Tamandua tetradactyla: one gene and its partners. The protein of the gene in region 4 purifies or fractionates together with the protein of the main gene of each other region. This does not show direct contact. Links are inferred from orthologs where the notes say so. Each region holds a gene or a part of one and is shown on either strand. Other genes may lie near its edges. The genes, in order: PDS5B, METTL9, STX8 and SLC30A4.

Region 1 (7,778 bases), on a different chromosome or scaffold from region 4:
TAAAATGCTATGCTAATAAAATACCACTACAGTAAATCTGCACTGGTATCTGTATCCAGTATCTTAATCAAGTTCTTTCAGTTTTAAACCTTGGCCAATTCAGGGTTTCTCTTTCAAGATGTGAGTCCTTGAAGGTATTTACTTCTAAAAGGAAAAATTTTAGCAAAATTCAAAACTTAATCCAATGATGGCCTTGTTCAATTTTTTTGTCAAACACAATACCTTGCAGTATTTCATCTGCCCTTGTGGTTTTACCAGATAGGTTAAGATAAAAGGAAAAGCAATTCTTGACACTATTAAACCTTGTGCTTGTATTAAAGAAAGGCAGTTTTTTTGCAGCAGGATTTTCAGTTCTTTTCTGAACATCTTCCTACACTGTTAAAGTGTTATATTATCTTTGTAAGAAAGAATGCCCTTAAATACTGAGAAAATATTAATGTGCTAGAAAAAAATACCTATTACCAACAAAACTCCTGCATCCACTCACAACATTCCCTTACTCACCAATCGTATGAGCTAATTTATCTTACACTAACATGACTCGGCAGATGTGTATGTGCATACCCATGCGCACACATTAAAAGAAAGTCATGATAAAAGAAATTGGGCAGCAGCAGATGAGTAAAACATATCGATTAAAAATAAGTAAATAATAAGGGAATAAATTTTAAAATAAATTTAGTAGATTGAAATGCTAGTGATCAATGAAAGGGAGGGGTAAGGGGTATGGTATGTATGAATTTTTTTCTGTTTTCCTTTTTCTTTTTCTGAATTGATGCAAATGTTCTGAGAAAAATGATCATGATGATGAATATACAACTATGTGATGCTGTTGTGAGTTACTGATTATATATCACGAATGGAATGATCATATGGTAAGAATGTTTGTGTTTGCATATTGGTATGTTTAATAAAAAACAATTAAAAAAAAAAGAAGAAGAAGAAATTGGGACCAGTTAATATGAGGTCTTATGTTCCTGATAAGGAGTTTGATCTTTATCACACAAAGCAGTTATCATTTGCTTTTGTTTGATTTCTAAGAAATATGAAGAGAGATCAGATTTGTATTTCAGAAAGGGAATTTCCAAAGACACAGACACACCAACTGAAACACAGAGGGCGGGCCACAATGGCTCAGCAGGCAAGAATGCTCACCTGCATGCCAGAGGACCCAGGTTCGATTCCCGGTGCCTGACCATGTAAAAGAAAAAAAACAGAAAAGAAACATAGGGAGCCTGTAGGAATGGATGAGGGCTGGCTGCAAAGGAGTATGGAGAAGCAGTAACTGGAGTCTCTGGATAACAGAAAGAGAGCACAGAACCATTTGAAGAGAAGATGCGATAGAAAACAGGAGAGAAGTGGTTTCATGGGAGAAAGGGTTTTGTTAAAACAGCAGAAAACTTTGCCAGTGAATAAATGTGACAGATAGGGTCATTTACCTCCTTGGGATCCCCACTACCTACCGTCCACTCTTTCCCCATCTGGGGACGATTACAAAGCTGCCGTGTTCAGTAACAAGGTGCATGGTGAATGTGACTCAGGCACTGCCAAGTGAGAGAGATCCACACTTTTCATTCAATGGCAAATACTCTTCACATAAAACTACACTGTATCTCTTCAAGCCTCTGCATTAATCCCAAAGGACCCAATGTACCAGACTGTACACAAAACAAATGAAAGTACTATTATTAATTCTATCTAATTAAAAGTAAGACAGTATCTACTATAATAAACATTTAACTAACAAATTTGCTTTGAAAATTATGTACTCTGCAGATAAAATGTAATGAAAGAATTTCAGGTAGAGGAATCTGAGATGAATCTGGATGTCCAGCGCGCCAAAAGAATTCAACTGATCATTTTTTTCTCAATATATTTCGCTACAATGAGAAAGACATTCCAAAACCCATTAGAGCCTATAAATATTTGAAGATACCCCAGAAAATATTAATGTTGAAGGTACATAAGTGTTTTAATCTAGTCTCATTAAATAATATTATTTTTATTATTAATTAAATTCATAACCAATAATTCTAAGCAAAACAGTTTTTTCCTTAGGGCTAACTTAAAACTACATCATCCTGGCTAGGAAAGTGTGCTACTCATTTCCATGGCAGCATAACAAAGATTCTTCTGTGGTTATGACAGATAATTGACAACATCTGCCTTAAATTCATCCTGGCTAAAATCTGAACTCAGCTCTCTTCTGTGGCAGTATTGTGGCCAAAACATACATGCCTGTTTTTGTTTGCTTTGTGTTTATTTGCTGTTTTTTTGTTTGTTTGTTTGGGCATGGGCAGGCTCCGCGAATTGAACCCGTGTCTCCAACATGGCAGGCAAGAACTCTGCCTGCTGAGCCATTGTTGCACCGTCCTGTGTTTATTTGCTTTTAATAAAGATTTCCCTGTTCTCCTCTAGAAATTTTGTTTCAATAGATTTGGGAAAGGGCTTCAGAGTCTGTTATTTTTAAAAAGTACCTCAGGTAATTCCCATGGCCAAACAAGTTTGGAACAATCCAGTATGCAACTTCAGGAACTCAGAACAGACCGACAACCAAAAAAATAAAAATAAATAATACAGGTTCTACCCTCAGATACACTCTTAAGTTACATCTATCTTAAAGGCCTTAATTTCCACAAGTCTGTTTGCTTTACCACCTTCACATCTGAGCTCTAAAACATGTGGCTCCACCAAAATCAACCAAATACAATCAAACTGACAATACAGGATTGTGTCAACTATTCCTCTTCAATAACAAACATTTACTGAGCATCTATTATAAGCCAAGCACTTTTCTTGTGGGGGTATTTCTTGGATGAATCTGTACCTATTCAGGTGACTACAGTTGCAGCTAAATCCAACTACAATCAGCAGTAAGGGGAGTCTCCTCATCCAATCTGTTGGAGGTCTTAAAAGCCAAAAATGAGTACTTCAGCAGTAAGAAATAAGAATTTCTGTCTCTACTTCAGCCAACTAGCCAGCGAGCAACTCCTGAGGAATTATACTTTACCTTCATTGGAGTTTCCAACTTGTGGCCTCCCATATAGAATTCAGACTTGCCAATTTCCACAGTCGCATGAGCCAACTCTTATAATAAATCTATTAATATTTACATATATAAGTAAATGAAGTGTAGTAAATCCTACAGCTAAATGAAGTGGGGTAAATCTCTTCTTTAAATATTTTTACTGAAATATCTTCATGCACCATACAGTCCATTCCATACACAATCAATGGCTCACAAAATCATCACAGAGCTGTGCATTCATCACTCTAACCATTTTTAGAACATTTGCATCACTCCAGAAAAAGTAATAAAAAAGAAAAAAGGAAAAAACATATATCCTATTCTCCTTATCCCTCCCCCTCACTAACCACTAGTATTGCAATCTACGCAATTTTTTTTACCCCTTATCCCCCACTATTATTTATTTTTGTCTTTTTTTTTACTCATCTATCCATACCCTAAATAAAAGGAACATCAGACACAATTCACAAACACAAAGTCACAGTCACATGGTAAAAGCTATACAGTCATACAATCTTCTTCAAGACTCAAGGGTACTGGAACACAGCTCAACAGTCTCAGGCACTTTCTTCTACCCACCCCAGTATACCATAAACTTAAAAAGGGATAGCTATATAATTCCTAAGAATAACCTAGAGGATAATCTCTTAAACTCTGTTTTAAATCTCTCACCTACTGAGACTTTATTTTGTCTCATTTCTCTCTTACCTCTTTTGGTCAAGAAGTCTTTCTCAATCCCATGATGCCAGGTCCTGGCTCATCCCAGGATTTCTGTCCGACATTGCCAGGGAGATTTATACTCCTGTGAGTCATGTCCCATGGAGTGGGAGAGCAGTGAATTCACTTGCCAAGTTGGCTTAGAGAGAGAGGCCACATCTGAGCAACAAAAGAGGTTCTCTGGGGGTGACTCTAGGCATAAATTACAAGTAGGCTTAGCTTCTCCTTTAGAGAAATAAGTTTTCATAGGGGCGAGTCCCAAACTGAGCCTTGGTTGCCCTGTCTGCTTGCGAGAATATCAGAAATTCCTCAGATGGGGGAGTTTAAATTTTTCTCCTTTCTTCCTAGTCCCCCAAGGGGACTTTGCAAATACTTTTTTATTCACTGCCCAAATTATTCTGGGATGTATAACGGCACCACACTAGCCTGTACAAACCAACAAGATCTCATGTAATCATGGCGTTCGAATAAACTGACCACACAAGTTAAATTAGATGAGTTACTCAAAAAAAAAAAATTTTGCAGCAAACAACTGTCTCTTCCTTCGGTCTCACAAAGAAGTTGAAGTTCTAAAATATAGACCATATCATCCTTTACCCTGTATTCTGATTTACTCTAGTTCTATCCAGATCAGTTTCATTTATAACTCTACTTGAAGTCTGATCACTTTTTCACTTTTTTTAACAATTGCCATATGAGGTAGTGTTGACTTTCATAGCTTCCGAGCTCTGCGTCTCAGGTGTCACACAAATACCCAAAGTTCCAGGGAATGATCAGGTTATATGCAAATAGCTCAGCATCTCAGAATTTAGAAAACAGAGTTATAACTCCTGGATATGTGACTGTTGTAAAAGCTTACAATCTAGGACCCTTTACAATAGCCCCCAAAACTTGACAACCATGCTCTTGACTTCAATTCTCCAACTTTGTATTTTACAGCTAGTCCTTATGAATTAGGCATGATAATATTTGTCTTCTTGTCATTTCATTCTGACATTTCATTCAACATACTGTCCTCAAGGTTCATTTACCTAGCTGCATGCCTCACAACTTCATTCCTTCGGGCAGCCACTCAGTAGTCTATTGTATGTATACATCATAGCTTCCCCTTCCATTCCTCAATCGTCGTACCCTTAGGCCATCTCCATTCACTATGGATCAGGAACACTGCCCAGAAACACCGTGTGCAAATGTCCATGTCCCCACACAGTTCCTCCAGGTATATTCTGAGCAACAGGGTTTCAGGATTATATGGTAACCCTATCCCTAGCCTCCTATGGAACCACCACACTGCCCTCCAAGAAATTGTACCACCCTGCTTCCCAACCAAAAGTGAACAGGTACATCTCTTTCTCCACATTTTCTTCACCACTTGTATCTCTTTCTCTCCATTTTTAAACAGTTTTATTTGCACATCATACAATCCAACCTAGGTGAAAAAATCTATGGTTCCTGGTATAATCACACAGCCATACCTTTGTCACCTCAATCTAAAGGAGGAAACTTCCTTTTCTTTGGCAAAGAAACCCATACCCATTCCCATATCCCCCACTTACTGACATTTAGTTTTGGCATATTACATTCAATGGACACATATTACAATGTTACTGTTAACTATAGACTCTAGCTTGCATTGATTGTATTTTTTTCTGTATACCAAACCTTTTTCAACACTTTGCAATATTGACATTCAATTGTTCTCTTTCATGTAAAAACATTCTTATATCTGTGCATTTAACCACCATCATTGTCTACTCTAGGCATTCCTAAACTATACCATTTCAGTTTTTACCTTTCCTTATGGTGTCATATATACCCTATATCCCCTATAGAATTCAGACTTGCCAATCTCCACAGTTGCATACATTAATTCCTATAATAAATTAATATTTACATATATATATATGGAGTGTGGTTAATTTTACCATGGAATATTATGCAGTTATTACAAAGAACAAGTTGGATCAGTATCAGCTTATATTAAGGTATTGAGGAGTAAGAAAAGCATTCTGCTCAAGTGTGTATGTATGTACATATATGTGAACCTAATCACATTTTTTGTAAAACAAACATCAGTACCACCATGCGCATGAACACGCACACAAAGGCACCACATAGGGACAGGAGTGGGAGATGAGAGAAACGGAAAAATATGTACAAAATTAAATTAATCAAAAACAGAGGAGATAAAATTATTTCTGCTTTATGATAAATTGTAAAAACTGAACATGGTCATAATCTGAGCTCGGGATGGAAGAAAGGCAAATTTACTTATAGATTTATTATTGCAAAGTATTTGTAATAAAGTATTTTTTAAAGCAATCCTTAAAGGAAGAAAACAAATAATCTACAGGCATAATCCTTCAAACTTTTCTCCATAAATCTTATTTTTCAAAACTGAACTTTAAATGTAGACTGGGCAGCAAACACATTCAAGGTTAAACTTGGCAGGAGACAAGAACGCTTTAACACACATAATCACACAATATCTGTATGTCTCCCTCCATTTTTATTCTTTCCACCCCCTGCTCCCGACTCTCATCCCCCAGTGTAAACGCCTAGAAGGCACAAAAGAATTCAATCTGATGAACCGACCCTCATTTACAACACCATCCCACCTTAGATCTCTCCCAGACAGCAATCTGGAAACTCTACAATTCTACTATTTTGTTTTTATCACAGACTTCCAATTATCTACAATTCTTACTCAGCTCTCCAAAGATATTAGTTAAATATGACCTATCCTTTACAGATCTATTAATGCAATTACTCAATTACTGCCAATTACTTATTTGCAAATTAACTTTTGATCTCTTTTTCTACATTTTCCCAGGAAAACAAATTTAGAAATGGAAAGAACTGTAATATAGAAAATGGTTTTGTTACCTTTTACTATAAAAGAAGATATTTATTTTTAACTCCCTGGCAAATAAAAAAATAAAACCTGCTTCCTCTAAAAGGGAACTTGATTATAGTTAAAGAAAATACCAACAGAAAATAAACTTTAAAATACAGACTGAGTTCAAAATGCAAATGAATACGACTGCTCAGTAAAACAGCTTTGTACAAATACCTACAGCCTATTCTACACAGACAGTTCCTTTTTCTCTTCTATAAAATGTGGATAGCCTCTCCCCACATACTCCCAGCATAAACTGTAAACTACCAGCTGGGCAGCGAGGCATCTCAGAACACCATGGACATCAAAGTGAAGTCACAAGGCTTTGTGGGATATTTCAGATTTTCAAGGAAAGTAGAGACTCAAGACCTGTGGGACATCAGGCAAACGAACAGCTAAGGCAGCTGACAGTTACAGCATGAGATCATTTACATTCCTTTTGAGAGTAGCAGTTACTGTGATAAAAAGCAAGTAATGCACAGAAATCAGTGTGGAATAGGGAATGGGTTGGCAGTTTGTCCAGTCTAATTCTAAGATTTGAGAACACGTACACGCCCAGCAGACAGAAGTATGCCATTAGTAAATAGCTATCGCTGTTTAAGAATAAAAAACATACTTTCTTTTCATTACCCTTTTCTTTACTGGTGGGATGGCAAAGAATATAAAACTTGTGAAGATTGAAAACACGCCAAAGATGTGGAATGATGACAGGTGGCTCACCATCACATTTCCTGCTAGAAAAGCAGAAGGTAAAGCCAAAGTTTGAGCATAATAAGGAAGAAAAAAACAGCAAAATATTGCTGTTTTATGTTAGTTTCCTTAAGAAAAGGGGTAGTTAACTAATACAATAATGTTAGTACAATGAATGAAAATGTGAGAATGATAGAGGGAGGAGGGTTGGGTGCACAAATGAAATCAGAAGGAAAGATAGATGATAAAGACTGAGATGGTATAATCCAGGAATGCCTAGAGTGTACAATGATAGTGACTAAATGTACAAATTAAAAAACTGCATGAGGAAGAACAAAGGAATGTCAATATTGCAGCGTGCTGAAAATAGATGGTAAGTTATATTTTAAAACTTTAACTTACATGTAAGACTAAAGCAAAAAATGTTTATTTGGTACAAAATTT
Region 2 (6,941 bases), on a different chromosome or scaffold from region 4:
TCAGCAAGCCTAAAAAAAGTCAATGAGTCCAAACTGGCCCGCAGGCCATTTTCCTGCTCTAAAAGACGCCCCTGCTTTTCACTTGCCCAAAGTAAGAGAAACCAGTTTTCTCACTCATGTTTTTCCCTCTAGCATGAGGAGCTGCCTACCAGTAGGGGCCCTTCCATCTCCAAGCTATACTAAGTAGCAATTTTTAATGAATAAACATTGCACAAGATTTCTCTTTTAACCATGGAACACTCTACCATAATCCCTTAATAAAATAACCAGAAGGAAAACTTGTGCTAAGTACAGCTCAATCAAATCCACAACCCTTTCAAGCAATTCCAAAAGAACCAGATGTGGTTGGCTATGGAATCAACACCACCAGATGAACACCAGAAGACTTTACATAAAACTATTAATTCTAAAAAATTTTTAAAAAAACATTAAGAGTAAAGTTACTTTATAAGCAAGAAATTAAAAGGTAAATTTAGGATCCTGGAATATAATACATTTAGCCAAGTTGCGTAGAATAGTCTCTTACCTCACTTTATCTTACTGTGTTTTCTATATACTTTTTATTTTAATCTTTACTCATAAAAGAAATTTTCACAATGTGAACGTATTCATCTCGAAACAAAGTCTGGATTCATTATTCTAAGTAAAATAGTCAATCCCCCCTAAATACTCAGAAAGCACCAGATTAGACTTCACCATGGAGAAATCTGTGAAACTGTCAGTGCAAATGGTTAAAACACATACGTGTTTACACACACACACACACACGAATATAATCTCAGATGAAGTTTTCCTAAGTGTGACAGACAGTTTTTAAAACGTACACAATTAGAAGGCATCCTGTTAGGAGACATTCTGAGGCTATGACAACCAGTTATAATTCTACTAGGCTCCATAAAAGTCAAATTGCTTAAACAGTTTTTCAAATTTTAAAATAAATCTACTCTTTTATGAGCAATGAAAACTTATCAAGTTTGCTGCAGAACAGGTGATAATAAGTGTTCAAATAAAACACCCAATCATAATTCTACATCAATGGAAATAAGCCTTTTTTTCCTTATCCAGACCGTTTTTCTATCAAATCTTTGTTAAAAATGACATTTCTAATTAATCATTCTATGCCATTATCCATACTCTATATGAATACGTCATTTTAGTAGCAGTTATCAGTACAGGACTTTAGAGTTGTTTCTTAATTAACTAAAATAATTATTCCATAGCAATGAACGTGGTTTTACCACTTCTTACACTATCACAGGAATGACTGCCTAACAAACTACAATACCTGAGAGATTACAAAAAATATACGTATTTTCTATAAACATAAATTTAGGATTCCTTTCAATAAAGGAAAAGGGGACCTACATATTCACTAAGTCAAAACTAAAATGTCTCTTTTCTGAATAAACTGCTTTATCCACTTCTTAGATAATTCTTTACTGTCATTAAGTCACACGAAATCAACCTCAGTGTAAACTATCTGAATATCTGGCATTCTAAGAAAAATAACACAGAAAAATAAGAAATGTGAAAATGATACACAAGACGACATGGAGAATAATTAGCCACTACTCTCTGTATCATAAATGCTAGCTATTATGAGCCAGCACCCTAGCAGAGTTCAAAAGCCTCTTCTAATTGAACGTAATGTTAACCGCAAGTGTGGTCAAATATGAAACAGCTCACTCTTAATTCTACAGCTGAACTGCCCGTACTTCTTTAAGTGACACAAAACTGGGCTAATGATAAGACGGTAATCGGGTCACATCGCATCACTCACGATCCCCAAGTACAACTCTTAAAGGAATTCAACTCCAGCCCAGTTCTGTTTTTAAAAGCCCTTCCTGTAATAGCTTGCATCATCTTCCTCCTCATAAACATCTTTCCGGTCAGATACTTAAATAGAAGTTTAAAGGAAATCTCCCCTGGGAAGGATGAGAAAGGAAGGTTCCGTAGGATGGGAGTCAGGACCTTTCAAACATATTTTTTTAATGCTTAGGGAAGATGTCACCTGCATAAGCCCGGAGAGTGAAATGGCTCACGATGCATGGTTAAATTTCTTTATGACCCTTTGTATGCTCAGAGATTCAACTAGACAGAAAGATGCACCGGCTTTTCGTTATGTTTCCCAGAGGTTATGAAGGCTGTCCGGGCTGACCGGTCTGAGAGGCTCTTTTGGATCTCAGGCCCCGGTATTAGGCGGGTGCCCCCCGCCACGCACCGGCCCCAAAGTTCCTCCCATCCTGCCGCCGGGAGCAGCCGCCGAGGTGGCCGGGCTTCTGCAATCAGTTCCGGGGACCGGGGGACAATGCGGGGCTCCTGGGCGCCCACGCTCGGGCCCGGGAAGGAGAAAAAGGAGGCCGTGCTCTGCCCGCGACGTGGAACAAAAGACGCTACCCGGCCGGGCCCTGGCGCCCGGGGGTGGAGGACCGGCGCCCGGCCGGGGAGTCGGGGGGGAAAACTTTCCGAAGCGCCGGCACCGTGGAGCGAGGGCCCGGCCTCCCTCTCGCGGTGCCGAGCCACCCGGCACAATAGCCGGACTCAGCGCGGGAAGGCCCGGCCGCCACGCCCCCGCCCCGGCCCGGGGTCCGGCAGTGTACCTGGTGGTTCTCCTTCCTGCCGCCCGCGGCTGCCGTTGGCCCGCCCGGGCCGCTCGTCATGTTCACGTACAGGGAGCGGGTGAGCGGGCTCCGCAGCGTCCACATCCTCCGCGCCAGCCACACGGACGCCAGGCTCAGGCACAGCCAGCCCGCTAACAGTCTCATCGGGGGCCGCGGCCGCTCGCTCAGATCACCGCCCGCGCCGGGGCGAGGAGGAGGAGGCGCCGCCGCCTCCGGCCGCCGCCGCCGCCGCCGGCGCTCGAGCCATCGCGCCCAACTTGCCCATCCAGCCCCTTCGGGGCCGAGGCGGGGGATGGGGAGGAGCGGCCGACTCACACGCAGCCTTCCCACCGCCCCTTTCCCTTCCGTCCCCGGAACGCAGCCGCGGGCGGCGCCAGTTTCCAGCCGGAGCACGTACGAGCGGCTGGAGCGCGTGCTCCCCGGGGCGCTCTCCCTCTGTCCAATGAGCGGGCGGGCCGGGAGGCGGGACAAAAGGAGCGCTCATTCGCCCGGTGCGCGTCCACGCTTCCTGTCTCTGCCACGGCTCCACGTAATGGCGGAGATGATTTTAATTTTTCTAGGGGAGGAGGGGTCGTTTCCAAAGGCGGTAACTGAAGCCCCTCCGCTCCTCCAAGGTGGTTCCCGCAGGACTGCTGGTCTTTCATCGCCGTAATTGTTGCATTTGGGCGCCTCATCCCACACCCGGGCGGTGCGCCCACCTTGTTGGGCAGATTGGCCGGGGGTGGAGGGGTGAGAGCGGGTCAGCCCCTCTTACGTCTTAACACTCAAGAACCAAGTCCTTCCCAGAGACAAACGCTGCCAGTTCTTAACTGTTCAGGCATGGCTGCATACCTCCAGTTTATGTTTAGAGGCGTCGAGTCAAACCCCCAGTGCCAAGGGCCTCCGTCCTGCTTCACATGAACTGCAGGACATTATAGGAATCTAGGGATAAAGGATACCACCACCGGCCCCGTGCCCCCAAGCCTGGCACATTGCGGGCCAAAGGCTCTGCTTTTGTTGAAAGCTACTGCAGTTGGGCAGGTAATGTTTTGATGTGTTGATGGCCCTGCCTAAGGATGGAGACCCCAAATTAGAGTCGCTGGCTGCTCGTTTTCTTGAACTCACAGACGGAAGTTGGACCAAACATTCAGGCTAAGTAAGCTCTGGGAGCGGTGCTTACCCGGATGTTTACGCCTGTGTAGCACTAGGAGTCCTAGCAACGTCTGAAAACTGAAGGGTTACACAGTGTTCCTATGTCTAAAATTCTTCCTGCCGCTACCCAAGCTACAGCCGAGGAGTAACGTATTTCATGGATCCTCTAGCTTTAATAACACCTTTCTAGGTTTGTCTGTTTAAAAACGCTTTTAATTTAACTACACCAGAAATAATGTAAATACATTTCAGTCGAAAACAAAAGAACAATCTTTAGGTTAATGACAAATTTGCATTTCAGAGCTTTTCATTTATGAAACAGTGGTGTGGTGATCTGATAAGCAGCAGCCTCGTTCCTAACCCACAGATATTTTTATTAGCTTCTGAGAATCTCAGCTTGACACCTTTCACTAACAGGGACATCTTGTTGCCTAATGTAAAGGGGGATGGGGGGAAGGGGGCAGGGAGTACTTTGTGTTCTCTCTTTCCATTATACTCCCTGTCTGCTTCCTGCCAAAACCTCAAAGAGCCTACTACATCTTATTAAATCTACTTCAAACCTCCAATGATAGTGGCCCAAATCATCAAAAAGAAACTAAAGTAGCGAGTTCAAATAACTCAGTTTGTTTACTGTGTCACCTCTCCCTCTTGTCTTGGGATCAGTGTTACAGATACAGGAGCTGTGTGCCAAAAGAAAGCCTTCATCTTTTCAAAGTGGGAGGAGGAGGGTGGAAGCAGCAGACAAACGGCATATTTCCGTTCTGAAGACAAAGGAGGCAAAAAGATATGTCCCTTTCTCCCACCCCTTATAAAGTAAGCTTGCTGAGCAGGCAACTTGGAAACTGAAAGGGTGAAACAACTAAATGCTGTTGTAGCCTGAAGGATTTGGGGTCAGCTAACTCCTAAGAAGTCTAGCATCTCGAAGGGGCAGATTTTTACTTTATACCTGAGCAGCTGGCCTGGAAGAATAAATTACCCACACATTTAAAATACTCTATAGTAACCACAAAATAATCAAATACATGTTATTTACACTTAGCAAGCACAGGAAGAAACCAAAGCGCAGCGTGATCAAATGATTTGCCTAAAGGTAGCAGAGCAAATTCAATAGCAGACCTTTTCATAGAACCTGGTATCCCAGCTCACGGTCCTTTGATCCATCTAAGAAGCCCCGATGCCACTCTCTTGTCAGAAAGTCTCCTCAATTACAAATGAGGAGGAAGGAAAACAGCAAGAGTAAATATACTAAGCAGAAGTTCAGATTGCTCTTGGGGACTGCCCCCTTCCTTTATCTACTAGAATGTCACTCCTGTAGATTAAAACCTCAGTTATCCATAATGCAAAGGGGAAGAGGCGCAGATAACACAAAAAGCTGAATAATTCGAGCCATTACCCTTTCTAACTTGGCTCTGAAATGCTGTCAGTGATAATCAAAAGATGCATAGCTGGCACCCTTTGTGCCTAGCTCTCCTCAGTTTTCCTAACCAGGAGCCCATGCCTAGTGCCATATCTCACTTGTGGAAACCTGTCACAGACCTCTGCAGACCTGAAATTTTGAGTGGATTGAGTTCCTATCCAGAAGTCGAAGAAAGGGCTTTTATTTGCTTATTCTTTTAAATGATAAAGCATTTTCATGTTCTCTCTTCAATTTCACAGTGTAATATTCAGAGATCCTAAATGATTAGAGGCTTGGATCTGTACAGTGCCTACAGTATTGGCCATTGTTTTCTCTTTGAGGAGATATAGTCAAAAAAGAACTTTTTATCATTACGTTTTCAAGGGCTTAAATTTTTTTATGTTGCATAATAATGTTTTGTAGAACATTAGACCAAGTTTTCCCAACATATTCAATAGATGTGTGCAACAAGAAACCTCTCAAAAGTAAAATGAATGAGTGTACAGGGTTTGACCTGAATTTAGTTCATATGATTGCAGTCATATACAAGTCACATCACAGTGGTCTCCGAATGATAAATTCTAAGTCCAGGTGAAACTTCAAACATGCATGAAGTAGAAGAATTAAACCAGGAATCAGAAGCCCTGCAGTACCAAGTACAAATAGCACAGCAACTACGTTAGCGTCCTCTCAATGCTACATATTAGCATAGGGGTTTATCATCTGCATTGTTGAGACAAGCTACCTGGTTTTTGAAACCTGGTCCTGTGCTTCTTGGTTATTCAATAATCTAAATCACTTTACTGGACCTCTCCAGGCGTCTGTTTTCTCATCTGTAGCATGGGGATAATAATAATAGTTACCTATCTCTAGGGATATTGTGAGGATGAAATTATATATTCTAAATTTAAAGGGCGTAGTGTAGCACCTCAACACATTGTGAGTGCATAGAAAATGCTAAATTTCTGTTCTTTTCATTTTCTCTTGGATAAACCAACCTCTTCAGAGCTTCCCTTTCATCATCTGTAATCTGTGGGCCATGATGCCTACTTCACAATCTGTGAGAATCAGATGATCTTAAAGCTTCATAAACTGTAAAACATTCAACCAAGATTATCATAATAGGAATATTCAGTTCTGATATGACTGTGAATTCTGCAAAGCTACTCTCCCTAAAACATTCTCTTACAACTGATAGCTTCTCCTCAGACCATCTTCATTTATTCAATAAATACTTTCTGGGTATTTACTTACATCAGGCACTAAACTAGGCATAAAGGAAAACAAAATAAAATCCTCATAGAGCTTACTGTCTAGTAGGGAGACAGACCAAACAAGTAATTATACAATGAATATATACTTAAAACTTCTGAGTGCTAGAAAGAGTCTATGTGTTAGAAGAACTTATAACAGGAATGCCTTACTTGAGGGTGGAATGGGGGTAGTGTTCAGGGAAAGCTGCCCTGAGGAAGTGTGGCATTGTGGTCCTCATTTTGACATTTCCTTATTGAGCTTGAGAGCTTCCGAGTTGCCCAAGTTCTTCCTGGACTATAGGTGCACCCAATACTTGTGACAACAGAAACGGGGTGCTTCTCGGCTTTGATGTAGGATGCAAAGAATCTCTGTGCACTTCACAGGCTCTTATGGGACTTTGGAGAAGAATAAATGAGATCATGTTAGCACAGCTGTCAGCACAGTGCCCAATATCATCAGCTCCCTAACCAGCCATTGTTAGTACTGAACCATGAAGTGGGTCAGAACTTTGTTCTCTCTGGACAAGTGACTTAAGCAGT
Region 3 (7,341 bases), on a different chromosome or scaffold from region 4:
CCAAACACCCTACCACACGGATGAACCTTGAAGACATGTTCAATGAAATAAGCCAGATGCAAAAAGACAAACATTATACAATTCCATTTACATGAAACAACTCGACTATGCAAATTCAAAGAGACAGAAAGAAGAGCACAGCTTACCTGGAACAGGGAGGGAGAATGGGGAGTTAATGCATAATATATTCCGGGTTTCATTTTTGGTGTGACAGGGAAGTTTGGGTAATGGATGCTGGTGATGGTAGCAGAGTACTGTGAATGCAATTAATGCCAATGAATTATAGGCTTGGGGGTGGCTGAGATAGGAAAATTAATGCTGTATATATATTACCATAATTTTAAAAAGAGAGATGCAGACAAAAACAATTAAATGCAATACGTGATTCTAAACTAGGTCTAATAATGGAAGAGAAGACGTCCAAAAGTGCATTATTGGGACAACTGAAAAGACTGCATGCTTCATACCAATGTTAAATTTCTTCATCCTGATAACTGTTCTAAATATGGTTATATAAGTATCTTTGTTCTTAGGAAATATACACAAAAGTATTCACTGTTCAAGGAACATGATACATATAACAGTCTAAAATGTTTAGAAAATGGACAGATGATAATTATAGTTAGATAGAAAGATGGAAAGAGAAGGAAGGAGCGATGGAGGGAGGGAAGAAGAGAGAGAGGGAGATATAATAAATGCGGCAAAATGTTAGAAGTTGTTAAATATGGGTATTTGGATAGGAGGTAAATAGGAGTTCTCTGCATTGCTTTTTGTATTATTTTTGCAACTTTCCTGTACATTTGAAATTACTTTAAAAGGAAAAGAAAAAAGTAGGCAAAAATAAGAGAGAACATGCTACTGACATCCAGTGTTCACTAATGCCTTTACTTTGAAATGTTTACTTTGTACTAACAAAAGTTACCAAAAAAAAGTCCATCCAACATTTAAACTATTGAGCATTTACTGAAAATTTTCCAGAAATAATATATCATCAACAAGTTAGAGGTAAAACTAACTAACTTTAGCAAAGAATCAATTCAGGGCCAGTACAGTAATCACTTGCTACTTCTCTTGAACAGTGAGCTTATCACTGGCTTTTATTATGCCATCAAAACAGTAATAGTTTTCATTTCTAAATATTAGAACACTTTTGAGGAATGGGACCTCAGTGATCTGTGATTTCCAACAGTATGTAGGCAAAACTATAGTCAAATCTGGTTTTATAGGTTTTTCAAATTTCCTTTCTGTACTCCTTTGTACCCCCTAAGCAGCAACTTGCAATTCACTTTAAAATACACATCTAACCCACTTTGGAGGGGTAGCTAATGTCAGCCCATCAGCCATTCCCTCACTCCCAGCAACCAAATAAAAAAATCACTAAGTCAAACTAGTTGACAGAACACAAAAAAATTATAAGCTTTTTCAAAATTAAAAAGTTTTGGAGTCCAGCTGGCATTTCCACTCAACTGAATAGGGTAACTTTGGGCCCCTCTATTGTTTCTGGGCTTTATTTCCAACCTTACGTGCAAACTGAGGGGGTTAGCTTCCAGGAGGTGGAGGGCAATTTACCAACATGTGTCAAGGGCCATAACAATGTTCATACCTCTGGAACCAATACTTCCACTTCTCCCAAGTGAGCCAAAGGAAATAGATGCTACAAAGGCACACAGCTTTTTCAATAGTGGGGGGGAAATTATCTAATCTAGCAAAGAGGTGAAAAGTTAAATTACGGTTTCTCATTTGCTGCACTATTAAAACATCATAAAAATCATGTTTTCAGAAAATATTTAATGACGTGGAAAAATGCTTCCTATTTTGTAAAATGCACACAAAATATCCACGTTAAAGTAATAGGTTCATTTTAAAAATCACCAGTGGCTATTTCCAAATGGTAGACTTAAAGACGCTATTTTCTTCTCTGCAAACTTTCAGTATCTTCTAAATTTCTACAGGGGGAATATACAGCTGTTAAAATGAGGTGGGAAAATATTAGTATTAAATCAATAAAGAGATTGATCTAGATGATCTAGGTCCTGGGCAACTCTAACTTTCATCTTGGTATCCATTCTAACATCCAGACTGCCCGAAACTTAAAGAATTATAAACTATATTGAAAAGACCAGCATAAGGCATATACTCCAAAAAGTTCAAATCCAATATGCTACAGCAAAAAAGTTCCTTGTGATCAGAGCTTGTGTTTATCATCATTCCGTCCTTGGGATTTAATGGTTACTCATTGTGAAGGAATGGTCTTTACCAGTTATTGCCTTATGCAGAAGTTATTGCTGAAAGAAAAGAATTCATGGTATTACTTAGAGAAGGGGAAAATGCCTTATGATCAAGTGCATAATTTCTCTCCCAAATTACTACACACTTTCTAAAGGGCACACAAGATCTAGGTTTTAGCTACAACTGGTTACTAGGTGGCTGGGGACCTCGGATTTTGAACCTCGCTTCCTCCAATCTGTGAAGCAAAAGGGAGACGGGGAAGTCTGTCATTGGCACTGACATTCGACAAAGAGGTTACTTCTACTTCACTTTTTCAAGAGTCCAAGAGAAGCCTCCATCAGTCAGCTGCAAATCTAGATAGGCGGGAAATCCCCGCGGCGAGAAGCAGCCCAAACAGACTTCAAAATATTCAGATTAAGCTTAAATCCTCAGTTTCCCGAGGGCTCACCAGGTCTCCTTCCCGGGCCACCTCCGCGAGGACCCAGGGTGGCGAGATACGACTGAGTCCCTCTCAACAGAGGAAGGGTCCTTGCGGCCCCTCTCCTCACCCCGAGGAGTTCCACCCCCCGCGCAGAACGGTCGCCCGCTCCCCGGAACCCTGGCGTCCCCTTAAGAACCAGGGTTCTTAAGAACCAGGGTCTGCGCGCGGCCGCCCTCACCCGGGGCTCACCAGGAGTCCGGGGCCATGGTGCAGTCTCCGCCGGCTCTACCAACACTTCCTGCTTGCGGCAGCTGCCTACGGCGGCCCGCGAGGCTCACTGCTCGCCGTTCGGCCGTTTGAGCCCGGAGCCGGGAATTTGCTAAGTGAATTTTGAAAAGTTAAGGCCTAAAACCGAGATGAAAAAAGGAAAGCGCTCTTCTGGGGAACAGAAGGTTGCAGGAATCCGCGCCGACTGAGACGCAAACTGCTAGGCGCGATTAAAATAAAATTGAAATTGAACCGAAGGTGAAGCGCCTCCTATATTACTTAAAATGTTACCCTGTTTCAGACAGGGCACCCAAAGAAGTATTAAGTATGTATTATTTTACAGCAACCTGTCTGTCGAGCCCCAGTAGATGCTTGGCTATGCAGCTAGCTGTGTATTTAATTCTTCCTAAATGTCCGGCGTAAGAGAAAAAAGGAAACCTCGGCTTGCAAGAAGAGGGCATCTGAGCGCCACAGGCGCGGGCGTGAATCTGGTGCGCGTGCGCACGCCCGTTACCATAACGACCAGAAGACTCTGCGCCCGCTGGGAGACAGAGGCCCGTGAGTCGGTGATGGATAAACGGGTGATGGACGGCCAAACTTCTCCCGAGGCCGAGGTGGCCGAGCTGGAGCTTGAGGCAGTGATCGGTTTCAATGGTGAGGCTTCGGGCATGTTGGGCTGGGTGGTTTAGGTACCCCGGCGACGTGTAGGGCAAACAGGGACAGTGAGACACCGGGGCGGGCTGGGGCAGGGGCGGGGGTTGGGAACACCGAAAAGACAGTGAGGGGCATTGAAAAGAGCCCGGGTCCAGCCTGTCTTCTCCCGCCCGAGAGCCTTGGGCAGTAACTTCCTCGCTCTGAGCTTCAGAAAGTGGCATGGTGTTTGCATGCTCCTGGCACCCAAAAGGGACTAAATGCCTCGCGTGGACTGAAAGTTGAGTAGGAGGGTGGGAGCAAAAAACGAATGGGATGATGCCTGTGTTATGACCCTCCTTCCACTGGCTCAGCCCTTCCTGCCCCGAAGCCCTAGGAAGCCCCAGGAAGCCGGCAAAGCCCCAGGCCCCTCCTAACCCACCAGAGGCTCTCTATGTTGGCCCTTGGAACCAACTAGCAAATCTTCCAAAATCCCAGCTGATGTACTAATGAGATACGCCGGGGAGGGAATGTGTGTTTGAGCAATCGCTTTAGGGGGTGATTTTGGTCTTCTAACTGGAAAGAAGGATTCTAATGATGAAGATTTCAGACCATCATAGAAAGGGATGCCATGGAAAGTTGGAGGGGACGACTGTTCAGCTTGGAAGAGGGGTTGCCGCTCAGTTCAAATCTTATTTGTGACTGCCTCCTGTTTTGAACATTAAGGGGGAGATGCTGTTTGTTTTTGTTTTGTTTTGTAGATGTGCAAAAAGCAGTGGATTAAACTTTAGAGAAAGCAAGGCCTGAAAGCTTTCGAATTGTAATAATTGAGGAGGCAGAACAGTCAATGGCTGAAGATTTAAGCAGATTCTAGGACCTGGCTCTTGTCTCTCACCTTCGTTTTACTTGGAAAGTCTCTGTGGAAAGCGGGCACTTAATACATCTCATTATCAGCCCTCTTGAGAGCTGGTTAAAAGTCCACTGGTGATGGTAGTGAGTGGCCTGCAGTGAGCATTAAGGAAGTGGTGAGGCAGTGTACAGCCTCATACTTACAGCTCTGAACTGATTTCATACCCTTTCCTAGAGCTCTAAGAGTAACTATATGGTAATTTGTATCCCATGTGTGCTGGTCTGAAAGGATGTATGCCCCCTAGAAAAGCCATGTTTTAATCAAAATCCCATTTCATAAAGGTAGAATAACCACTATTCAATACTGTATGTTTGAAACTGTAATCAGATCATCTCCTTGGAGATGTGATTTAATCAAGAGAGGTTGTTAAACTGGATTAGGTGATGACAGGTCTCCACCCATTTGGGTGGGTCTTGATTAGTATACTGGAATGCTGTAAAAGAGGAAACATTTTGGAGAATAGAAGAGATTCGGAGAGAGCAGGGAATCTGCAGCACCACAAAGCAGAGAGTCCACGAGCCAGCAACCTTTAGAGATGAAGAAGGAAAACACCTCCCGGGAAGCTTCATGAAACCGGAAGCCAGGAGAGAAAGTAGCAGATGGACACCGTGTTTGCCATGCGCCCTTCCAGCTGAGAGAGGAACCCTGACTGTGTTTGCCATGTGCCTTCTCATTTGAGAGAGAAACCCTGAACTTCATCGGCCTTCTTGAACCAAGGTATTTTTCCCTGGATGCCTTTGATTGGACATATCTATAGACTTGTTGTAATTGGGACATTTTCTCAGCCTTAGAACTGTAAACTAGCAACTCATTAAATTTCCCTTTTTAAAAGCCATTCTGTTTCTGGTATATTGCATTCCGGCAGCTAGCAAACTAGAACACCATGTTTTCCATAGCAATTATTAAATAGTTTTGCCTTTTAGAAAGGCCCAAGTCAACCAAACTGTGTTTTACTTTGTTGTTTTTGTGCAATTGACATTCTTTCATGTAGTTGAATATATATTTATTTAGAAAAGCTATATGCCAAATACTAAGTTGTTTACTGAGAATACAGGCATAAATGCATGGCCACACTTAAAAAGATGAGTTTAGAAAATAGGTAAAAGAGTGAAACAACAACAGAAAAGTCAACCATCATTACACTTTCCAAAGATATCACTCTTAATCTTTTGGCACGGTCTTTTATATATCTATGTATGAATGTGTTTTTTAGTAAAAGAGAGCTCATGCCATATATATATATATATATGCTCTTATAACCAGATTTTTTTTCCACATAACAGTATGCCATGCAGATCTTTCTTTAATAATATGCTCCACATCATAATTTTAATACTTTAATGTATTATTCCATTGCATAGATATGTAATAGACTTTAAAATACCTTTTTATTAATAATTTAGAATAATTCACATTTTTTCATTTATTTAAAAGTACTACAAACAACGTCTGCATAGCTAAATCTTTTAACTTTTTTCCTTAGAGTGGAGCCTGGTTGGGGAATGGCAAATAGCTCAGTGTGACTTCAGTATCAGACTGGCAAGATAACCCTGGAAAGGGTGCCTGGGGTTGATTTTGAAGGCTTTAAATAGCAGGTTATTAAGTTCATAGTTCACATAGAAACAAATGAGAAGCAAATTCAAAAGTCAAAATCTTTTTATCATTGTAACACTAGCACCCATTATACTGTCTTATTCTATTTTATGAATTTTAATTCTGGAGGTAATAAGTATATAACTGTGCTTGACTTATTTTATATAGACAGAGACTTTTTTTGGTGGGGGGGGATGCATGGTCTGGGAATCCAACCCAGGTTTCCTGCATGGAAGGTGAGCATTCTACCACTGAACCACCCTTGCACCCTGAGGTATCATATTTTTCCAGGAATCAATTTAAGCAAATCAGGTCTAAAATAAGTTGAACTGGATACCAAAGAACAGATAGAGAACAAAGCCATCCAGAAAGCCCTAGGTAAAAGCGTGAAAACAACCTCCAGAATAACCTAATTAAGGAAATCAAATGTCTAGATACCAGCAAAAAATAATGAGTCATACTAGGAAAATCAAAGATATGCCCCAGTCAAAGGAGCAGACCAACATTTCAAATGAGGTGCAGGAGTTGAAACAACTAATTCAAGATGTTTGAACAGACGTGCAAAATCTCATCAAAAATCAAATCAATGAATTGAGAGAGGATATAAAGAAGACATTAGGCAAACAAAAAGAGAATTCAAAAGTTTGAAAAAACAAATCACAAAATTTATGGGAATGAAAAGCACAATTGAAGAGATAAAGAAAAAACAATGGAAACCTGCAATGGTAGATTTGAAAAGGCAGAAGAAAAGATAAGGGAACTAGAGGACAGGACATCTGAAATCATATACGCAAAAGAAAAGAGAAGGAAAAGAATGGAAAAATAGGAGCAGGGCCTCAGGGAATTGAATGACAACATGAAACACATTAATATATGTGTCATGGATGTTCCAGAAGGAGAAGAAAAGGGAAAAGGAGCAGAAAGACTAATGGAGGAAATAATCACTGAAAATTTCCCATCTTTTATAAAAGACATAAAATTACAGATCCAAGAAGTACAGCATACCCCAACCACAATGGATCCAAATAGACCTGCTCCAAGACACTTAGTAATCAGATTGTCAGATGTCAAAGACAAAGACAGAATTTTGAATGCGGCAAGAGAAAAGCAATCCATCACATACAAAGGAAGCTCGATAAGACTTTGTATGGATTTCTCAGCAGAAACCATGTAATGATATATTTAAGAATCTGAAAGAGAAAAACTGCCAACCAAGAGTTCTATACCCAGCAAACTGTCCTCCAAAAATAAGGGGGAAGTTTAGAATATTTTCAGACAGTCACTGAAAGAA
Region 4 (7,014 bases):
AAACAATTTTTACCAAATAAGAAATTTCAAAAATGCTAACTCAGGAAAATTATATCTTAATGATTTTTGCATATGTGAAAAAACTCTAATTTTAAAGGGAAAAAAATTTGTGAAATTTTAAATTTAAAAGGGAAAAAAATTTTCTAACTTCAAATATTAAATATTTAACTTCAAAAATCACTAAGTCTGAATGACTCCATATTCTAGCTGTGTGAATTTTGTTAAGTCACTGTGCCTTATCTGACCATAACTTCACTCCTGACTTTTAATTTCTTTACAGCTTAAACATTCATAATTCTCTAACAAAATAATTCAACCAAAAAATATTTTTGAGTGTCTACCCTGTGCCAGTGACTATCCTAGATGCTCAGGATTCAGCTTATATTTGAGTAGGGGAAGAAATATGAAACAAGTAAATAAACAAACAAGATAATTTCAGATGTTGAGTGGTTTCAAAGTTGGGGAGGCAGCAGGGGAGAAGGAAGGTTTTCTTTAGACAGACAGAAAAGGTGTCTTGGAAGTGGTTTTTGAGATAAGACACAACAACAAGAAACCATTCAAGAGAATACCTGAAAGGGCCGTCCATGTAAAGCAGTGTTTTTCAAATTTCAGGCCCTCACCTATTAGTGAACCATGAACCAATTTAATGGGCTTGGACCACTGTTGAAAAAATATTAGGATACAGCACAAGATAAAATTTTGTTTCAGTTATACATATACGTGTGTGTGCACATATATGTGTATATATATGTACATGTATGTTTGTATGTCTATGTGGGTCACAATGTTTAGTTTATTTCTTACTATGACGAGGTCAAATAAAGTTTGAAAGCCATGGAAATAAAAGAACCAGCCAGTTTGAAGACTTTAGAGTCAGAAAGAGCTTTGGAATCCCAGGAAGAGAAAGAAGGGAACATGGGGGAAAAGTGGTATGACAGGAGGTAGAAAGCGCATACAAATTTCCTTCACTTAACCTCCAAGCATCCTAAATCTGAACTGCCACCTCTGCTCCTGTCAGTGTTTATCATTAAGAGATGTGAATCATCTCCCTGCTTTAATGTCACTCTGTAAACTGTCATTAAGAGGAGCAAGCTTGGCTGCAGTGGTTCAGTGGTAGAATGCTTGCCTTCCATGCAGGAAACTCGGGTTCGATTCCTGGACTATGCACCCCCCCCTCAAAAAAAAGAGGAGTTAGCTTGCTTTTTTGTATAAGTGTTGTTTTTCACAAAAAAGAAGAAAAAGTAGATTGTGATGATAAAATGCACAGCTATATGATGATATTGTGAAACACTGGTTGTACACTTTGGATGACTACATGGTATGTGAATATATAATATATAACAATAAAAAATAAATAGATAAGAGGAACTAGCAGTTACCCTAAAGTGCCTGTAAAAATAATTTTTAAATAAGAATATATTTTACAGTAATAATGTATTACTTGCATAATTAAAACATGAAAAATAAAACCAAGTTCAGAAAATCCTGGATGAACCCTCTGGTTCTTTTTAGGTACCCCTTTTCATTTTATAATGTTATTATTTGGCATTATTTTTAGCATTAATTTTGCAAATCTCTTGCAAACAAATACAAAAGAAAATACAATAAAGAAACCATTTAAATTGAAATATAGGGAAATAATCAAGAGACTGGATTGTAGCTGTGGCTCCTCCATTAGCCATCTAATTGGCCTCACAGCATGTTGACCCTCTCTGGGCCCTCAGATTCTTCTTGTGTAAAATAAGCAGGTTGGAGCAGGTGTTCAGTAAGTCCCTTCAGACTGTAAAATTCTATGATTTTAAATAACTTTAGAATCAGGTACTATTTTAAATGCTGCAAAAATTAACCTGGTGTTTTCTCAGACTATAAAGAGAGAGAAAAAGAGGAAGTTCTATGATACACAATGAAGATAATGTCCATAACTTGACCGTAGATGGCACAGTGTTTGGAGAGCTAGGTGAAAGCAAAACTTATCTCTGGAAGTTTATGTTGTGCTCAGGTTGATCTGCACTTTGGAACCATGTGGCCTTTTCACATCATGAGATTACAGTATCTTAGATAACAAAATTTCCTGAAAACGAAGTTTAAACTTCATATCATGCCTATCTAAAGCCTGACCAAGACTCTCCAGGCAAGGTAAATGGAAAGTGAGTTGAAACACAACTCACCTACAAGTTCTCCAATCATGAAAAGCAAGTAAAGAACGGCAGCAATGGTCAATCTGGTTTTCACCTTTCTCTGCTTCAGTAATTCTCTCTGTTTGCTGCAGTTGTCACAAGGGTCCACCTTCAAACTCAGCTGGCTGTTGGTCAAAGGTAAGTCCTGGTCCAGCAAGGAATCGTCGTCGGCCTGGAGGGCCGGGTGCGCCCCATTAATAGGCCTTCCTGGGGTTTCCGAACCATCATCCGCCACCACAACTCGAAGTTTGTTAAACCTAGAAAGCCCCTCGTGCCCAACCTCATCCGAGAAGTCAAAGGCGCTGGTGTCATTTAAAAACAGCGGCGCATCATCCTTCTTCAGCAGAGATCTGAAGCGCTTCCACGCGCCGGATCCGGCCATGGTAGAGGCCGAGCGGCGGCGGCGCGGAACGCCTCAGGGCAGGCGGACGGTCGGCGGCGCCTACTTCACCGGAGCGCCCGTTCCCGATGGCAATGCCACGCGTCCCTCCCCATCCTGCGGAAAACGAAACGCGTTAAAAATTAAAGACTCCCAACATTCCCCGCAAGTTCCAGTGCCCCGCGCGGCGGAGGCGCAGGGCCAGCCTGGAGGCGACGCGTCCGCTGGGTCGCCGCCGCTGCGGGCGTCCGTAGACGCCGGCCCGAGATCCGCGAGGGGGACGGCGCATCTACCTGGGGCGCTGCCTCGGGGCCACGGCTCATCTCTCCGCCCCGGCTTGGCCCGACTGGCACGAACTACTCCGCCCAGGACAGCAGGGGCACGGAGCCGTCCTCGCGCCTGTAGCACCCGCCCGCCGCTCTCCGGGTCTGACAGGTCCCGGGCGGCCACCGCCTCTCTCCGCCCTGCGCGAGACGGCGCGCGTGCGCTGGAGCGGCAACGGGTTGGGCGCAGGAGGGAGGGGTGGGAGGGTGGACATGCAGGCCCGCGGCACAGGCCTATGAGCGTCCGCGAGGGGCGGAGCAGAGGCGCGCGCCGTGTCTCCCCGCCCCTCGCCCGGGTCCAAGCTCCTGGGCCCGGCACGCGAGTCTGCGGCCCCGGGAGACTAAACCGCGTGCTCTGTCGCTGCCTCTTACCCTACCCGAGGCGAGACCCTTTCTCCCGCGTGGCCCTTCCAACCTTCTCAGACTGGGAGGGATGTGCGGACCGAGCCGGGATCTGCGGGCCAAACGGGTGGGCTCGAACGGTCCCGCCGGGGTTGGGTGTCGTTGCCCGGCATTCCAGATACCTGCCCTATGGTTTTGGTTGCAGGCACTAGGCAAAAAACAACCAGCGCCTTCTCACTAAGTGAGAAGCTGAGTAGTAGCTTCCTCTTTGGCCGGTTGGCAAAATTTGCTGCCCAGTCAGGCTGTCTTGGAAAGGGCACGGCTTATTTATGGTTGTCAGCAGTTTTGTGTCCTGCTTTAGGTTTACTGTTGTTATTCAGCAAATATATGTGCCTTCCGTGTGTTCACAGCTGTGTTCATTTTGCCCCTTAACTCCCCTCCTAGTGAGTGTGGGCTGTGCTTATTGAATATTACATAGCCTCTAAGGAATAGAATATGGTAGGCATGATGGTGTGTGATTTATAAGACGAGGTCATGAGGTGTTCCAGCTTCCTCCTGTTCTCACTTAGATCACTTGCACAGAGAGAATCCAGCTGCCATGTTGTGAGGACACTCAAGCAGCACCATGGGAATGGCCCACGTGGTGAGGAACTGAGGCCTCCTGCCAACAGCCATGTGAGCAACTCATATAGAAAGCACATCCTCCAGGCCCAGTCAATCCTGAGCCAGTGCTGACTGCAACCTTGGAAAGATCCTGAGTCAGGACCACCAAGCTAATCTACTCCCAGATGAGACTGTGTGAGGTTATAAATGTCTATTGTTTTAAGCTGATAAATTTGGGGATACTTTGTTATAATGTAATAGATAGCAAATGTACTCTATGTCAGATTTCCTCTGTACTAGGAAAGACACTTTTTGTACTCTCTCATCACATGGCATTTTGTTGCCGGCCTTCCTTCGGGCTAGTGTCATAATTTCTATCATTGAACTTTGCAATAGGCTAAATAAATAGACTTTTGTGAATAGGCTGGGAATGTAACCACCATTTGTAGTCTTATTTCTAGGTATTCAGAATTTATAACAATAGGCAAATATACTTTTGAAACGTGACCCATTTATAATCTAAGTACTGCTTGCAGTTCTGCTAGCTATTGCTCAGTCTGCCATTGTTTTATAAAAAAAAACTCCATACTTCTTTTTAGTCTGAAGAACTCTTTTGCATGGTCAAAGGGAAAATTTCCCATTTCTCAACCAGGCAACCCATAAAACACAGATTGTCAGGTAATAGCAGAGGTCTGTCAGTTCAGTTGCAAGACATATACCTTGGAACAGTTAACTAGGATAGACACAAAATATCCTATGTCTAAACCTGCTTTCTGGCCCAGATATCTTTTTGAATAAAAGGCAAATGCTATAAATAACACCACAGTTAACATTTATTTAACTTCGGTAATGCACCAACCACCATGTAGGGGGCCTGACTTACATTAGCTCATTTAATCCTTACAGTATCACTATGAAGAAGATAGAGATAAAAAGCATGGGCCTTGGAGTCACCGACATGGGTTCAAGTCCTGGATTCACCATTTACTAGTCATATGATCTCTGGCAAATTATTTAAACTCCCTGTGTTTTAATTTTCTTATCTCTGAAGTGAGGATGCTTTATAAGGCTGTGGTAAGGATTTAATGAGATAATGCATGCAAAATGTGTAAAAGCATAGACAGTTCTAGTCACATAGTCCATCAATGCGAGTTATTATTTTTAAAGTAGATGAAGAGGTGGAGGCTCAGGGAGGTTTAGGAACTTGTCCACGGTCATGAAGCCGGCACATAACAGAACAGGAGCTCAATTATCTGTTTGGTTTCAGAGCTCAATCTTAACCATTCATCTACACTGCCTCTCTCAGTTTTTCTGCACATGAATAGAACAGTCTGCAGAAAAGCACCTAGACTCCTTGAGGCATGCTCTGAGAGACCCCTGTTTCATACCTCAAAGTGTGCCAGTGACTTGAGACCTCAGCGCCAGCCTGTGAAACCCCCTTTGTGGAAGGGAAATGAGAGAGGAAAAATAGTGAGAAAGTATTTTAATTTAAACAAAAATGGGAAAAATGCCGCTTAGTTGAAAGGTTCGGATGCTGCACATTTCCCATCCCGAGAACTTTTTCCATTGGAGTCTGTGACTATAGATGGTTCCCATAGAATGTTTTTAGAATGCATCCCTTTATTTTTTTAAGAGTGGATGGAAATAGTTATTGAATGGGTATGAACAAGGGTTAGCGATGTGACATGACATGGCGGAACATGACGTGATGTACAGCGATGGTGAGTGTACTAGCCTCTTCCTCCTCTAGATTGCTCTGGATCGCTCTATTAATGGAAGTGCTGGGATTGCAGTCTAAGCTTTCTCCCGGGGAGGGGAGAGGAGAAGGACCCAAAACCAGTAAAAGAGAGAATTGCCTAAGGACAGGAAAGGTGGCATTTTGGATAAGGTGGAAATAAAGGAGAAGATCCCTGGTCAGGGAATCTATTAACCTTCCAGGCACACCAACCTGTACTCAATCAAATGAATCGTTTTTAATTAATCCTTTGCTTTTGTTTTCCCTTAGTTTTAAAAGTAACACTCCTAATGACTTTCTCCAACCGTGTCTGGCTGAAATTAGAAGGAATAAGAGGCCCAGTTGGGACAGTGGGTTTGGAGGTGGTGGCTGGGCTGGGAGCTTATAGGTGAGGGTGACAGGCAGACTGGAAACTGTTTTGGTTTGCTTAAGCTGCCTCAATGCAACATACCAGAAATAGATTGACTTTTACAAAGGGAATTTATTAAGTTACAACTTTCAGTTCTAAGGCCATAAAAATGTCCAAATTGAGGCATCAGCAAGAGGATACCTTCACTCAAGAAAGGCCAGTCACATCCGGGGTTTCTCTGTCAGCTGGGAAGGCAGGAGGTTGGCATCTCTTGGTCTTTGCTCCCAGGTTACCTTGCTTTCAGCTTCTAATTCCAGTGGTTTTCTGTGTCAGTTCTCCAGACATCTCTAAATATCTGTGTTTAGGTGTCTACTCTCTCTATCGGCTCTTTTAAGGACTCCAGTAAACTAATTAAGATCCACCTTGAATGAGAGGGGCCACATCTCCATGGAAACAACCTAATCAGAAGGTTGCATCCACAATAAGTCTGCACCCACAAGATCAGATTAAAAGAACATGGCTTTTCTGGGGTACGTAAGTTTCAAACCAGCACAGAAGCTAAGATCCCTTTCTGCCTCAGAGCCCCTTGTAAGAACTTGGAGAACATGGATCAATGTCTAATTTTGCCAGCTATTTGCTGTGACCCTTACTGTAAGCAGTGCAGTATTGCTGAGCCCATTCTCTTAGTCTCTAAAAAATGAAAGAATATTTGCCATTCCTATTTCATAGGGACATTGTAAACATGAAATGAGGTTTTGTATGTGAAAGAATTTCCTCACCTAATTTACTAGATACAGTTTTTACGTACTGTAGTATTTGAATCATCCTACAAATCAGGGTGTGAGCAAATGCTGGTGGCCAAGAATTATCCACTTATATCTTCTTTTCTTAGGACTGCTAATCCCCAGTCCTTGGTTTATTAATGATACATTCTGACTCATTTAGAATTCTTAATTCCCCACCCTACCATTATAGTTGCTTCTTTTCTCTCCCATGTGGTTTTATATTCCTAGCACCTAACACCATATGCACAGAGAAGCCCTGCAGATACTCATGGATTTAATACAGGAAAATACTATAATCAGAGAGAGTTCATCCAAACTTTG

What was found.
Region 1: the proteins of SLC30A4 (region 4) and PDS5B purify together in Homo sapiens (affinity purification with mass spectrometry; 3 studies listed by BioGRID and IntAct, counting the BioPlex papers as one, with this or other methods). This does not show direct contact. The link is inferred for Tamandua tetradactyla from reciprocal best matches to the Homo sapiens genes SLC30A4 and PDS5B.
Region 2: the proteins of SLC30A4 (region 4) and METTL9 purify together in Homo sapiens (co-immunoprecipitation; 3 studies listed by BioGRID and IntAct, with this or other methods). This does not show direct contact. The link is inferred for Tamandua tetradactyla from reciprocal best matches to the Homo sapiens genes SLC30A4 and METTL9.
Region 3: the proteins of SLC30A4 (region 4) and STX8 purify together in Homo sapiens (co-immunoprecipitation; 3 studies listed by BioGRID and IntAct, with this or other methods). This does not show direct contact. The link is inferred for Tamandua tetradactyla from reciprocal best matches to the Homo sapiens genes SLC30A4 and STX8.

Annotation. Positions count from the first base shown.
Region 1 is NC_135330.1:197,481,772-197,489,549, reverse strand, and holds the start of PDS5B (sister chromatid cohesion protein PDS5 homolog B), read right to left. Parts: upstream 3,025-7,778; 5' UTR 1,526-3,024; coding exon 1,464-1,525; intron 1-1,463. UniProt on the Homo sapiens protein: Regulator of sister chromatid cohesion in mitosis which may stabilize cohesin complex association with chromatin. May couple sister chromatid cohesion during mitosis to DNA replication.
Region 2 is NC_135349.1:34,751,682-34,758,622, forward strand, and holds the start of METTL9 (protein-L-histidine N-pros-methyltransferase), read right to left. Parts: upstream 3,004-6,941; 5' UTR 2,766-3,003; coding exon 2,601-2,765; intron 1-2,600. UniProt on the Homo sapiens protein: Protein-histidine N-methyltransferase that specifically catalyzes 1-methylhistidine (pros-methylhistidine) methylation of target proteins.
Region 3 is NC_135332.1:63,395,192-63,402,532, forward strand, and holds the start of STX8 (syntaxin-8), read right to left. Parts: upstream 3,025-7,341; 5' UTR 2,917-3,024; coding exon 2,900-2,916; intron 1-2,899. Other genes in the region: CFAP52 (cilia- and flagella-associated protein 52), read left to right, coding at 3,487-3,571. UniProt on the Homo sapiens protein: Vesicle trafficking protein that functions in the early secretory pathway, possibly by mediating retrograde transport from cis-Golgi membranes to the ER.
Region 4 is NC_135340.1:59,805,609-59,812,622, forward strand, and holds the start of SLC30A4 (putative proton-coupled zinc antiporter SLC30A4), read right to left. Parts: upstream 3,018-7,014; 5' UTR 2,850-3,017; intron 2,674-2,849; 5' UTR 2,560-2,673; coding exon 2,169-2,559; intron 1-2,168. UniProt on the Homo sapiens protein: Probable proton-coupled zinc ion antiporter mediating zinc import from cytoplasm potentially into the endocytic compartment. Controls zinc deposition in milk.